2 linked regions of the Arabidopsis thaliana genome follow. The protein of the gene in region 2 interacts with the protein of the main gene of each other region in a pairwise test. Each region holds a gene or a part of one and is shown on either strand. Other genes may lie near its edges.

The links. The genes of interacting proteins can lie anywhere in the genome.
Region 1: the proteins of AT4G18060 (region 2) and ADL6 interact in a two-hybrid assay, tested with the Arabidopsis thaliana proteins (one study listed by BioGRID).

The regions. Positions count from the first base shown.
Region 1 is NC_003070.9:3,368,853-3,376,428, reverse strand, and holds the start of ADL6 (dynamin-like protein 6), read right to left. Parts: upstream 6,028-7,576; 5' UTR 5,656-6,027; coding exon 5,515-5,655; intron 5,232-5,514; coding exon 5,181-5,231; intron 5,085-5,180; coding exon 4,964-5,084; intron 4,835-4,963; coding exon 4,742-4,834; intron 4,398-4,741; coding exon 4,336-4,397; intron 4,166-4,335; coding exon 4,048-4,165; intron 3,902-4,047; coding exon 3,565-3,901; intron 3,460-3,564; coding exon 3,312-3,459; intron 2,986-3,311; coding exon 2,884-2,985; intron 2,804-2,883; coding exon 2,684-2,803; intron 2,417-2,683; coding exon 2,333-2,416; intron 2,249-2,332; coding exon 2,121-2,248; intron 2,018-2,120; coding exon 1,933-2,017; intron 1,816-1,932; coding exon 1,677-1,815; intron 1,452-1,676; coding exon 1,375-1,451; intron 1,305-1,374; coding exon 1,248-1,304; intron 966-1,247; coding exon 821-965; intron 734-820; coding exon 594-733; intron 255-593; coding exon 141-254; intron 28-140; and 1 more. UniProt on the Arabidopsis thaliana protein: Microtubule-associated force-producing protein involved in clathrin-mediated vesicle trafficking from the trans-Golgi network to the central vacuole. Able to bind and hydrolyze GTP. Binds specifically to phosphatidylinositol 3-phosphate (PtdIns3P).
Region 2 is NC_003075.7:10,026,117-10,031,581, forward strand, and holds AT4G18060 (SH3 domain-containing protein), read right to left. Parts: upstream 3,918-5,465; 5' UTR 3,547-3,917; coding exon 3,487-3,546; intron 3,282-3,486; coding exon 3,159-3,281; intron 3,036-3,158; coding exon 2,966-3,035; intron 2,862-2,965; coding exon 2,707-2,861; intron 2,610-2,706; coding exon 2,508-2,609; intron 2,426-2,507; coding exon 2,228-2,425; intron 2,154-2,227; coding exon 2,091-2,153; intron 2,020-2,090; coding exon 1,930-2,019; intron 1,843-1,929; coding exon 1,768-1,842; intron 1,672-1,767; coding exon 1,552-1,671; 3' UTR 1,165-1,551; downstream 1-1,164. Other genes in the region: ABCB9 (P-glycoprotein 9), read left to right, coding at 1-105, 181-444, 520-1,164; AT4G18070 (suppressor), read left to right, coding at 4,723-4,828, 5,453-5,465. UniProt on the Arabidopsis thaliana protein: May be involved in the recruitment of DRP2A to the accessory protein complex and in the negative regulation of its GTPase activity.

The DNA of each region.
Region 1 (7,576 bases), on a different chromosome or scaffold from region 2:
TTTCTCTACTTGACAAAGAACAACAGCCTGTTCATGGTCAATTCACATCGCTTAGTAGCATGACCGAGGAATCTCTGTAAGAGAAAAGAGATGGACAAGAAAATTTAGAGCTTTCGAGCTTTTGCATAAGGATAGTTCACCTTTGGAACATTGGCTGCAAGGCTGTTAAGAACAGCTTCAACGTAACCCCGTACTTCTTGGGACATCCACCGGAGCTCCTCTTCTGGATCGATGGGTTTCCTAACCATCTTATCCTGAAATACAGACAAGGAAAAAAACGTAAGTCTCAGAAAATATTATAAACAATAAAAACCTTAAATGTCAAACATAACTTATGTCAAGTTTAAAAGTAGTATCATGCATACCCCATAAACTGAGCCTTCTATAGGAAAAATGTTTCAATAATAAAAATTCGACAATGTTCAATAAAACATAAATAGCTTTGTTTGCTCTTCCAACAGTTTCAAACCTTCCGAAGTGAAGTTTCAAACTTTCTTCATAGTGATAATAAGTAATCCATAAGACTAGTGAACGTATCTAACATAGATTTAAGGAAGAGGAAATGTAAGAAAAGCTGCCCATGAGTGACTCACAAGTGAACCTTCTGAAAGACTCTGCCTCATGGAAACACTGCCCACTTGGCCTCCACGAGCCTGGATAACCTTTTGCAACTTATTAATCCACTCGTTCTTGTCGACTACACTCTCAGCCTTAAGCACAAGGGCATTGTGAGCTGCAACATAATAGTTTGAGGAAAACTCATAAAAGTGCGAATAGAAGATTAAGAAGTTTGAATTCTTATAATGATTGATTTATGTACCTTTGAGTACAGTCTTATAGGGAACCTTGCAGGTTATTTTAAACACAAGGCCTGGTCCTTTTGAATCAGGTCCATTTGCCTTCTTGTCCTTCGAGCTCTTTGACTTTTCTACTTCGTCCTCGGGGATTTCTTCAATAGTGCATTCCTGAGTGGATTAATAAAGTTGGAGGAAGTATAATTAGAAAAACATGGAAAAAATGTTATCTATAGAGTATCCAAATTTCTCATCGATAATAACAGAACTATTAAATATTTGAAGCATAAGCTTCAAAATACACAAGTAATTGTCACTCTCCAAGAAGGAAACAGTGTGGGAGAAAATAACAAGGTGAATACGAACTATATTCTTCTCTAATTCTTTTTTCCATGTCATATCTAATTATAGTTCACCTTTGGCAGAAAATAAAGCATAGGAAGAGAATGGTACCTCCAAAGTTATCGTGCCCCGAAAGTTTCTTTCTTCTTGCTTTTTGGTATAGCCAAGCTAGAAAAAGGTAAACAGTAAAGTCAGTAAGTTCTCAACAACTGAAGAATATACGTTTCAAAATGCTGACCTTTCCAGTTTTCTCATTCAGAACAAACCATCGCCTACTCCACCCATTTGTTTTTGCACTTTTCTTCATTAAGTACCCTAAATGAAAAGAGTAAGTATTTGTTATCTACCTTGGAAGTTAGTTTTGTCAAGTTAGTTTTAAGTGATAAAGAAGAAAAAGACATGAAGAAATCATGCACTTGGACTAAGAGCAAAGCTTTGCAGCAATAAAATCATGCAACGTAAGGAAAGCAAATCGGGAGTGAAAAAGCAGAATGAAACTTTTTAGACAGTAACTGGGTAGATGTATATTAGAATAACAACCTGCTGTTATCTCCCCCTCAGGTCCAGCAGTTTTCAGACCAGAGACCTCCGGCGTCTCTTTATCTTGCGGACTAGGTTTGTCTTTCATTGATTTTAAGCTACCACCAGCTGTTGGCCCATCTGGCTGAGGACTAGTAGCCTGATAAACATATATGTAGAGAATTTCCACATTATATATTTTCATGTAAAACGATAAAAAAAAAAAAAAAACATTTTTCACTACGTATATCCAAATTGATACAGAATGAACACACACCCTGCTTAAAAGGGACTGCTCTGCATCTTGTCCCTTCTTAGAAGATCGCCCTTTCAGCTCTTCCTCGCGACGTTGTCTTTCCATTCTGATGGAGTCAATACAGTGCATCGTCAGAAAGAGAAATAATTTTCAGTCATGAACCATTGAAAATAAAAACAAAAATTGCAAAGAAAGACAAGCCAAAATACCTCCTTTGCACAAGACGGATAAAATGTTGAGGTGGTACAAAAGCGCGTTCCATATCAACTAGTGCAACCACCATTTTCTTGGCTTCATTCTTGAAACCATCAAGTGCTGCACTTGCTATAGCTACAACCTGGTTGATGATTAGTCAGAAAGGAATAACTGTTACCGAAATGATAAAATATTACTGAATAAAGCACCAAAAAATCATTATTACCTCTCGCTTGAAAGGAGGATATCTCCCAAGTCCAGGTGTAGCATTTGCAGAAGCTGAAACTATGTCAACAAGAACTCGGTGAACCTAATCAAAAGTTAAGACCATGTTAGCTCAACACGTAAATAAGACAGAAGCTGGATGCATGAGTTTTAAAGTAGGAACCAAAAAATAGCTACATCTACGGTAAGGGATATTAACTTACTAAGGCTTATAAACCAGAAAACTTGACAGAACTCTAAATAACAGTTCGAAGAATTAAAGTGAGACAAGCCATAGCCAGTTCACAATGCAGTAAATTTCTAAAATTCAATCCTACTGCATGTACCTAAAAAAACATGTAAACAAGCACACCTCATCAACACAAAGGCGTGCCGGGTCTTTAGCCAACTCAAGGACAATCTTTATCAACGATCTCAACCCTTTCTCTGGAGATATAAGATAAGGTTGATAACCATCTGCCTCCAAAACAACCTGAAAATCAAAGATATTTTGACAAATCAAGTCTCAAAACTTGTCTCGTGCAGAAACTTAGGACAGAAGAAGACACCCACCCTTTTAACATTGTTCAGGTCAAAATGTCTATCCAATGGAAGCTGCTTGATACGGTTGGGGAAATTTCCTTCAAAACTTGCAACAACTTTCCAACCACTTCCCTGAACAAGAATCAAAAAGTTTTGAGAAAAACATTTGCCAAGCTCCAAAAGGGACTTCAGCCCATAAACTGAACACAGACAAGTACAAAAACTCTATATCAAACACTCAGTTGGCTTATACACATATTATAAACATCCACTATCAGATTCATGAGATTCCCAACAATATAATGTGCTCTTACCAAGCGTAGGCTAGCAAGAGACTTTCCACTACACTAGTACCAAATCTGAAATGGCTGATTGCTAATATTTGAAGAGTTCTTCTCTCTCACTATATTCTTGAATTTTCGACTAAATCTAGTTAACTTTTGTAAGAATGTACTTACTTCACCACCAGCCAAGTGCAGAAGAAACTTGTCTTCAAACTCACGGCAAAGCTCCAAAGCTATAGCCCTTGTACCTTCAGCACTGTTAACTAGTTGTTCACCAAGCCTCGCTAGCTCATCCTGCACTATTTGAGACTTACCCTGGAGCCTGTACAAAGAATTTGAAAGCCATATGCGTTCAAGCAACCAATGTCATATGCCAACACCATAATAAAAATCATGAAGAAAGCACATATATGGAGAGAAGCAATACCCAGACAGGACACTTGGAAGCCTGAGCTTCATTCTGCTACGAATCTGGCTAGCAAGGGTATCCACCAACGCAATTCTGCCAAGCTTGCTTTGTGGAGCCCCAGTCAAAATGGACTTAAGACTTTCACTCTCAGCACGCCAAGCAGTTTCTAAGGAGTTCTCACCACTTCCAGACTGTGCTGACGCAATTGAAACGGATTGGCCAATAACAGCAACCCATGGAATGTCAGTTGTTTTTGGAGGTCCTTGATTTGAAAGAAGAGCCTGAACAGCTGCAAGGGCTTTCGAGTTCTCTGCTGCCTGGTCAATTTTTCCAATAATGCCTATTGTCCTAGTACCTATAAGTAGGGAGGAGTGATGTTAGCTAATGAGTATTTTAAGCAAACTGAAGTGATAATAGGTAGGTAAATCAACAGTTCTTATCAGGTATACAAATAATAAACAATATTAAGATAAGACAGATCGGAAATACAGATGTACTCACTCTCTGGATCATACTCCTTTGCAATCTTCAGGGCTCGGGATGATGAAATTTCAGATGCCTGGCTAGCAGGCACTATAACCAGCAGTATGGCATCATTGTGTTGCGCGTATTCAGCAATCTTGCAAAGAGACCCAAGAAACAAACAACAATTTCAAAAGGATAAACATGATAATGAATCTATATTATCACTTCAGTAGGAAACCGATAAAAATAGTCAAAATCTTTTGTTTCGTGGTTGTCAGGCAAGTTAAGGATATGACAATGGCATTAAGTAGTTCCAAGCCTCACCATTGACTCGTCCACAATTCTCTGGTCCAGTCCAGGCAGATCAACTAATTTCAATGGTGGAGCTGCAATGTAAAGGGTAAACGTAACAGGTTATGATGGTCAAAGAAAATTTAATACTACGAAACTGTCGGTCATATGTCATATGTCATAACTCATGTTCAAAAGAGTGTGTACTGTTTATGTTAAAGCTCCGTTAGATATTTAATCTGATACCCACCAAAGTAAAGCTAGAAGCTCTAAACTAGTGTACTAGATAGTATATAAGGATAGCAAGATATTACAGCTGACCAGTTCACGGGTATCAAAGATAAATTCATACACCCAACTTAGGTTAGCTAAGGATGTGCTATTTGAAGAGTAGATATAGGCTTGCCACTTATGATTGTGCAAGTAAAAAGGGGCTTACCTGTGCTGGTACGAAGTTTTAAGTTTATTTCATCACGATTCTTCCCTGAGGCTCCTTTGCTAAGTCTATCTTGCAGAGAATGTCTCAAAGCACCTAAAATATACCCATGTAGAACACAATGGAGATATTATGAGAAGACTGATCGAAATTTTTTTATCATAAATGCAGAAAGAGCCTCACATAGCATTGCTAAATTGCATATGTTCATAGATAGAGACTTACTTGCAGAAACTTGTTGAGATTTATTGTCGATTTGCAAGATAATTGCCTTGCTGCTCAAAGAACTCTCCCTGCTCAATTCAATTATTATAGGAGCTCGTGTAGCACCATTCTCACCCGTCGGCTGTGTATAGTAAGTGTAGCAGACACAACAGAGGTCAGTATTAGTATAAGAAAAGGAGTAAGCCAATAATAACCATAGACTCAATGTACAACTTACCAGCACTGGATGCCCAATTAGACTGTTTAGAACTGCAGACTTTCCAGCTCCCTGGTTCAGTATGCAAAAAGAGATAAGTAACAAATAACAAAATACATCAGCCTTCTCCGGCACGAGTCGCTCCTCATGTAACCATATATCCACTAATAAAGAGAATCCCAACAAAACTAGCTATAAACGATGAGTGTGTCCTAGCAAAATTCGATAAAAACCTAATCTAGATCCAGAAGATCCACGATATGGCAATCCAACATACACTCGAACACAGAATAAAACCAGCACGAGCCTAAAGAGAGGAAAATCGAGGAGCGTGGAGTGAGAGCGAGGAACTCACCACATTTCCCAAGGCAACGACGTTGAGGAAAGTGGCAGGGCGCTTGGAAGAAGAGGTTTCGTCGGGATCTTCGTCGGCGAGGAGAGACGCCGCCTGCTTCATCGAATCTGAGAGCTGAGACAACTCATCGATCGCCTCCATCGCGACTAGCAAAAGCCCTCCGCGAATCGAGATCGAGTAACCGATTCAAAGTGAAGAGATCTGGAGGAAGAAGGAAGCCACTCGATTAGATCTGAGCAGACCGGAACCGAAATCGGCGGCAATAGGCGGGGTCTTTCCCGGTGAGACGATGGGCCGGAATTTGGAATCCGGTCGCGATGGTGTTAAGCTAAGATTTTTCGTTGGGGATTTCGTAAGGGAAGGCAGAAATGAGCGAAGACGAGGTCATAAAGAGGACGTACGTAAGATTTCACAATTACACGGGACAAGATTCAAATTTCAAAAGACTTACAAAAATCATATCTTTCTAATTTTTTTCTGATCGGTCTCAAGTGCTTCTTCTTTTTCTTACTTAAAAAAAAAAAAAAAAAAACAATGTGATGTGAAATACACATAAAAAAATAAAAAAAAATTATCAGTTCATTTAACAATTTATCATCTATTAGATCCATTCATATAACATTAGATGATGTTGGAATCCCACATTACTAAATCAATGTGAAGGTTCAAATAAAAATGTAATCAAATGTTGTTGTGGATCTCGTTGTTGTTCATATAGTTCTCGCGACATAATTTACCTCAAGGGAAGGCAAACAAAAAATCTATTCACAAGGTGTAACTATTTTCGTAAACTATTATAGTTTTTTTTTGGACAAACAACCCCTACTAAAATCTATTTGGTGTATGTTTTTTGAATAATTGATCCTACCAACCTAATTTTTTTGAACTATATGTGTTTTTTGTTGCCTGAATCTCATCTTCCCTTCTTTAGAACTGTTGTCTATCATCATACCTTCCAACATCTTAGGACTAGTTTGGCAATGTTGACAATTCTTTGTGATGTATGACAAGTATAATTATAAGGAAAAAATAAATAAACATTGGACATAAAAATCAGAAATTTCCAAGCTAACTATATGAAATTTCTAGGCACATTTCTTGGTTCTTTTGATACCATTTCTTTTTCCTTTTGGACATCTGGATATCATATTGTTTGTTTGGGATACTAGTTCTTCCCAAGTTTTTAATCTTAATTAGCTGCTTTGGATCCTTAATAGAAAAATAAACATTTCATATATTCCGGAAATTAGTATAGCCATCGGTTTTAGATTTTCTGGTGATTAAGATATAAGAAGATATTTTTTCAAATATAATAATGAAAAAACAAAATCTACAAATCATTAAAAAGGAAAAAAAAAATCAAAATTAGAATACAATACATTGTCTCAATACTATAACATAACCAAAAGAAGCATCAATAAATTTTACTAATAGTTAATAAGTACAGAAAAAATCGAAAAATTCTAGAAATGTTAAAAGTAATTTTTTTAAAAATAGTAAGGATATAGAAATTAGATAATCAATAAGTTTGACTACTGGATATCTAGAATTATTTCTATAAAAAAAAAAGTGAAATGTCGGACCAAAGAGTTGACGAGCACTAAACCACGTCACAATTAAACGTGGGCCCTCCGGCCCAATAACTTAAAACCAATAGATTATTCCCATCTGGCAAGATCTGCGGACTTTGAACTCGTTATGCTTTTCGACGTGGAGTTTTAAACTCAATTAATCTAATTAAATTAAGCATAACATTCCAATTAATTTTGTTCTTTTATATATATAAGATCAAAATCAACCACACACACACATAGATTTCAACTGGAAGAAACAAAAGACCAGATTTGTTTATGTTTCTTCTTCTTCTTCTTCCTCTCTGCATGAAATTCAGTTTCTGATCTGTTTCAGTCATCGTTTCTCACTTTCCTCGAAGATTTCCACAGATCCAATTTCCATTTATCCACTTACCTTTTTCGATTTCGTTTGATCCTTGGATTTAATTATATGTTACAAATTTAGGAAATTTCTCGAGGAGATTGAATGCAATGGATTTGTGCTTGAA
Region 2 (5,465 bases):
TTCGGTTTCTCATTCTTTTTCCTCTATTGCATCAATTGTGTATGTTTCGTCAGTGGTGCCGGGTTGATTCAAATTGGTAAAGCCACATTTGGTGAAGTCTTCAAGGTAAGATGAGAAACATTTCTCGGTTTAATTAAGATCTGGTTCGGTTTAGTGATCTTGAGAGTGTATTTTTTACAGGTTTTCTTTGCATTGACGATTATGGCGATTGGAGTTTCTCAAACGAGTGCTATGGCACCTGATTCAAACAAAGCTAAAGACTCTGCAGCTTCGATTTTCGATATTCTCGATAGTACACCGAAGATTGATTCTAGCTCTGATGAAGGTACAACGTTACAAAACGTTAATGGTGATATCGAATTCCGACATGTTAGTTTCCGATACCCAATGCGACCGGACGTTCAGATTTTCAGAGATTTGTGCTTGACTATCCCTTCTGGAAAGGTAAAAAACAGAGCTTTTTAATTACCGGTTAAATCTGGTTCACCGGTTAATATTGGTTATTGGTTGTTTTTTCAGACCGTTGCACTTGTTGGAGAGAGCGGGAGCGGGAAATCAACGGTGATAAGCATGATTGAGAGGTTTTATAATCCAGATTCAGGCAAGATTTTGATCGATCAGGTGGAGATTCAGACATTTAAATTGAGTTGGTTAAGGCAACAGATGGGTTTGGTTAGTCAAGAACCGATTTTGTTCAACGAGACGATCAGATCAAACATAGCTTATGGTAAAACCGGTGGAGCCACAGAGGAAGAGATTATAGCAGCAGCAAAAGCCGCAAACGCACATAACTTCATCAGCTCATTGCCTCAGGGTTACGATACGTCGGTTGGAGAACGCGGTGTTCAGCTATCGGGCGGTCAGAAACAGAGGATTGCGATTGCGCGCGCGATTTTGAAAGATCCTAAGATTTTGTTGCTTGATGAAGCGACGAGTGCATTGGACGCAGAATCTGAGCGTGTTGTTCAGGATGCACTTGATCGAGTTATGGTTAATCGAACCACTGTAGTTGTGGCTCATCGGCTTACGACGATTAAGAACGCAGACGTGATCGCGGTTGTGAAAAACGGAGTTATTGCTGAGAAAGGAAGGCATGAGACACTGATGAAGATTTCAGGTGGTGCTTATGCTTCTCTTGTCACTCTGCACATGAGTGCAAATTAAGAGACTTTTTGTTTTTGGTTGGAATGAAAGAGAGAATTTTTGGAATTGATTCGTTAATTTTGTCCATTGGAACTCATAAATTTGAGACAAACAGATCCTTTTACTTCGAGCTTTAAAAGCCTCGTACCACACTAATTGAATTCTTTGGGTTTGCTTTCTAACAAAGTGCGTTCCAAATGTTAGAAACGTTTCATTTGTTCCTTTTCTTGTTATCTTCATTAAGAACACTCTTCAATAAGAAGAATCAATAAAACATTTTTTGGAGGTAAACTCTATTTTGGATCAACAAATATGAACAAGAGTAGTAGTTTGTTGGGGACAGGACATAACTGAAACAAAGTTTTCAGACACAAATGTAAGAAAAAATGAAATCTTTGAAGAAGAGACTCAGTAAACTTCAGCAGCAAAGTTGGTAGTGGGAAGTCTCTGTCGCTTCTCAATGTAAGCCATAGGAAACCAACCAGCTTTGCCTTTGCATTCTCCTTCAGCCCAACCGGTTTGGCTCACCTGAGAATACGAAAGAAAAACAGCACACAGAGAGTTAAGTTTCATGCTCTCTCACTACAGAAGTTAGTTCTTTGATACTAGTAAGAAGATGTGAACCTTTCGGACAACGATGTAATCTCCTTTGTCCAAGTCTAACTCTTTCTCTGAAGCAGCGGAAAATGGATGAATCACCTGCGAGAGAACATATATGTTGCTTATGGAGAGTCTTTTTCTTTCTGTGAGATATGCGATGATAATATTACGGAAGATAAAACTTACTTCAGCAAGAAAGTATGACGTTTTCTCTGAGCCGTTCTCTGTTGGAATCGCAGGAGGAGCAGATTCTTTGTGTTGTTTCTCGGTTACCATCTACGCGGTAAGACCAAAAGTGTGAGCCTTTGATGAGAAAAAGATGTGGGAAAGATTCATCCAATACTAACCTCGGCTTCAATGTCACTGAGGATGGCTGCTATTCTTAAGTGATAATTCTTCTCCCCTTCAACCTAGAATAAGCGATAAGGTAAATAGTAATCTGCATATGACAAAAAAATCCAGTGTGTGTGTATGTAAAACATACCATAGCCACAAGCCTCTGGAAAGTGAGTCTATGTTGCTGTGATTCAACAGCGGCTAATGCAGCAGTTGCTTCTTTACCAAGGACTGCCATATTTGCTTTTAGCTCTTGCATTTTTGCTTCCGCTAGTTGAAGCTTTGCTACGTTTTCTGGAATCGGAGCTTCTCTTACACGTGCTTGCCGTCTAGAGACTTCCGTTGCCTGTTTTGCTTTTAAGTTTTAACTTACATTACAAAATAAAATAGCCAACATCATCATAGAACTAAGATCTTAAGATGATTACATGTGTCTCTGCTTCTTGTCTCATGCGGCTGTAACGTTGAGCAAGATGACGAGCATCTTCAAGAGGAGAACCGGCAACCATAGCTCTTAGAGGATCCAAAACCTTAACGGCATTTAACAAAAAGGTTTTCTCTTGTTATCTACTAGATTTAATTCTACGTAAACATACTAAGATTAAACACAGATAATCCAAGCCGAACCTGAGAAGCCAAAAGCTTGTTGAAGTCTTCTTGTTCTTTGTCTACATGTTTCCGTGCATCACCGTATATAGCTGCAGCCTTGGCCAGTATATTCTCATCAATGTTCTGACTATTTTCGTTCCCATACCTACAACAGTCTTCAGACAACTTGGTTCCTGAAATTTTAAAGAATATTAAAAGAAAACTCACAAAAGTATCATAGTATAACTTAATTCAATGATAGGTAACACAAAACAGACACTCATAAGTAGTTAAGTACCTGCTTCAATGTGTCTGAGCCCGATCGTGGTAAATGCCTCAGCTGCTTTAACAATATCTCTCTGGAACTCCTGAAAGTGACAATAACATATGTTTGAGGGTATTGTGCTACGATGAATCATACTGAAACCTTCTCCCCCAACAATGAACTCATATAAAATGTGACAATGCCATTAGGTCAATATCAGTCAAACCTTTGCAGAACGAGTAGAGCGGTAAAGTTTATCGAGTTGATGATGCCTTTGCATTTCAAGCTCATCAATCACCATTACATCTGAGCTTTCATAACCAGTCCCACTGAATTGCTTTATCACAGCCTACATTCCCCATTACCACACATCAATCAACACATCATCACAACCAAGATTGTGTAACTCTATAATACTCAATAATATACAAATCAAAACCCATCAAAAAGTTTCCATTTTTTTTAATCCAAATTAGCAACAAAGAACCTAAATTGAGCTTCGTTTCGCTGAATCGGTAACAGTGAAACTAGTTGCGGCGATGAAAAGGAATTACCAGTTGCTGCTTTGCGACTTGGTCTCTAAGCTTACTCGCTTGTCTTCTAAACGCATCCATTGTCACTTCTCCTCTTGATTTCCCCAAATTGATTCAGAGATACCAAAAAGAGACAAGCTTTAAAGGATTTTGAGTGGAATTGAGAAATCTCAATTAGATCAGAACAGTTTAAAAACTGACAAAGCAGATCAGATCTGATTCAGTAGAAATGTATGTTCTTCTTCGACTCGATGTGTCACTGATTATCCCTCTGAGAAAATCAGTCAATCACAGAGCACACACATCGATCTAAGCGGGTCGGGTCGATTCGATTGATTGAACCAAACCGGTCCGGTCCGGTCTGATTAAAAGGAGCGTTCGCGATTGAATTATTTGGAAGCAGACGAGGCTTTTCTACTAAAAACCTTACGTTACGACTTACGATTATTATTGAGTAATTAATTAAAATTAGCTAAATCCGTTTGGCATAAACTGAGATTAAGTTAATTAAAACTTAAAAGTATAGGTATTAACAAAAAAACTGACATGGACAACTCATAACCACTTGTTATTTGTCCCCACTCCTCCCATATCATTTTGTCCTAACTGCCATTACATAATTATAATCTGAAAAGACAACCTATATACTTTTTCTTTTATTTTATTATTAACGTTGCCTTTCTCAGTATAGTATAGATTCCTACTCTACCGACTTAAAATTTCAGTGAGATATTTCATTAAATTCCATGTTCTTAAAACAGGGTTCTATTGTTGATGTAAACTTAAATCAAATTATAGTCAACCAAAAGACAAATGTATATTGGTATCTAAAGTACTGAATGACAACATTTTTTTGTTTTAATTTATCTATAACACAATCAAGTTGTAAAGATGATTTTGTTTGAACAAACTTTACAAAAATAATCTCTATCCATTATACTATTTCGTTAATAGCTAAATTAGTAAACCAAACGCGGAAAATAAACGAAACAAACGCGGAAACAAAATTACAAGAAGATCAATTAGTGATTTTACAGTTAAAAAAAAGCAATAAAACTCAGAAACCCTTTCACATGTATGTATAAGAAGAATCTAAAACTTTCCCACTTCCACCAATTTGAGTTTTGAAACATTTACGGCTCGACAGAAAAGAAGACGCCATTATATTTTAACAGAGAGAAATCAAAGAGACAAAAGCCACGATCCGCCATAGCTGTTTTTGAGATCGATCCCCACCAAAGGAGCCTAGCCTAAATCATGCCTTCAGGTGCTAAGAAAAGGAAAGCTGCCAAGAAAAAGCAAGAGGAAGAACAACAACAACAAGGATCTTCTACTCTAATCAACCTCAAATCCAACAACCATGGTTTTTAATTCTTTTAACACCCCATAATCTCACTACTACTTTCTTCTTTTTGCCTTTTTCTTCTTGTTGTTGTCTCTCTGTATCTCTCAATTATTCACTCACACCACACACGTTTAGGCCACCTTTCTTGTTTGTTTATATATTTGCTTCGCTTTAAATCTGAGTTTTTTTTTAACTTTGTTCTCTGTATAGTTTCTTCAAGTTTTGATTTTTATGGTTTTGTGCTCATTGATCTAAACAAATGGGTATCTTTTTTACTCTTCTTTGTGTTTTGATTGGGGTTTTAGGCTCACAATTTTGGGATCTCAAGCTGTAAAAATTTGATCTTTCGGTTAATTTTAGCATGTTCTGCTTCGTAATCCATATGGGTTGAATCTAGTTTTCTGTTTTGGACTAAAGGATAGTTTTGTTTATCAGATTCATGATTATGATTGAAGTTGTTTATCATTTGCTGAGTTTTGTTTATCTCTGATGCTTTGGTTTCATTAGTAGTAGCTGTGCCTATTTTGTTTACTAGTATATGTTTCATTCTCTGGATGGTACAATAGTTAGATTTGACTTGAATAGTCAGTGTTAAGTCACTCTGTTTGTGATATTGATTGGATTTGTAAACTGATGTGCTAGATTCGAGAAGCCA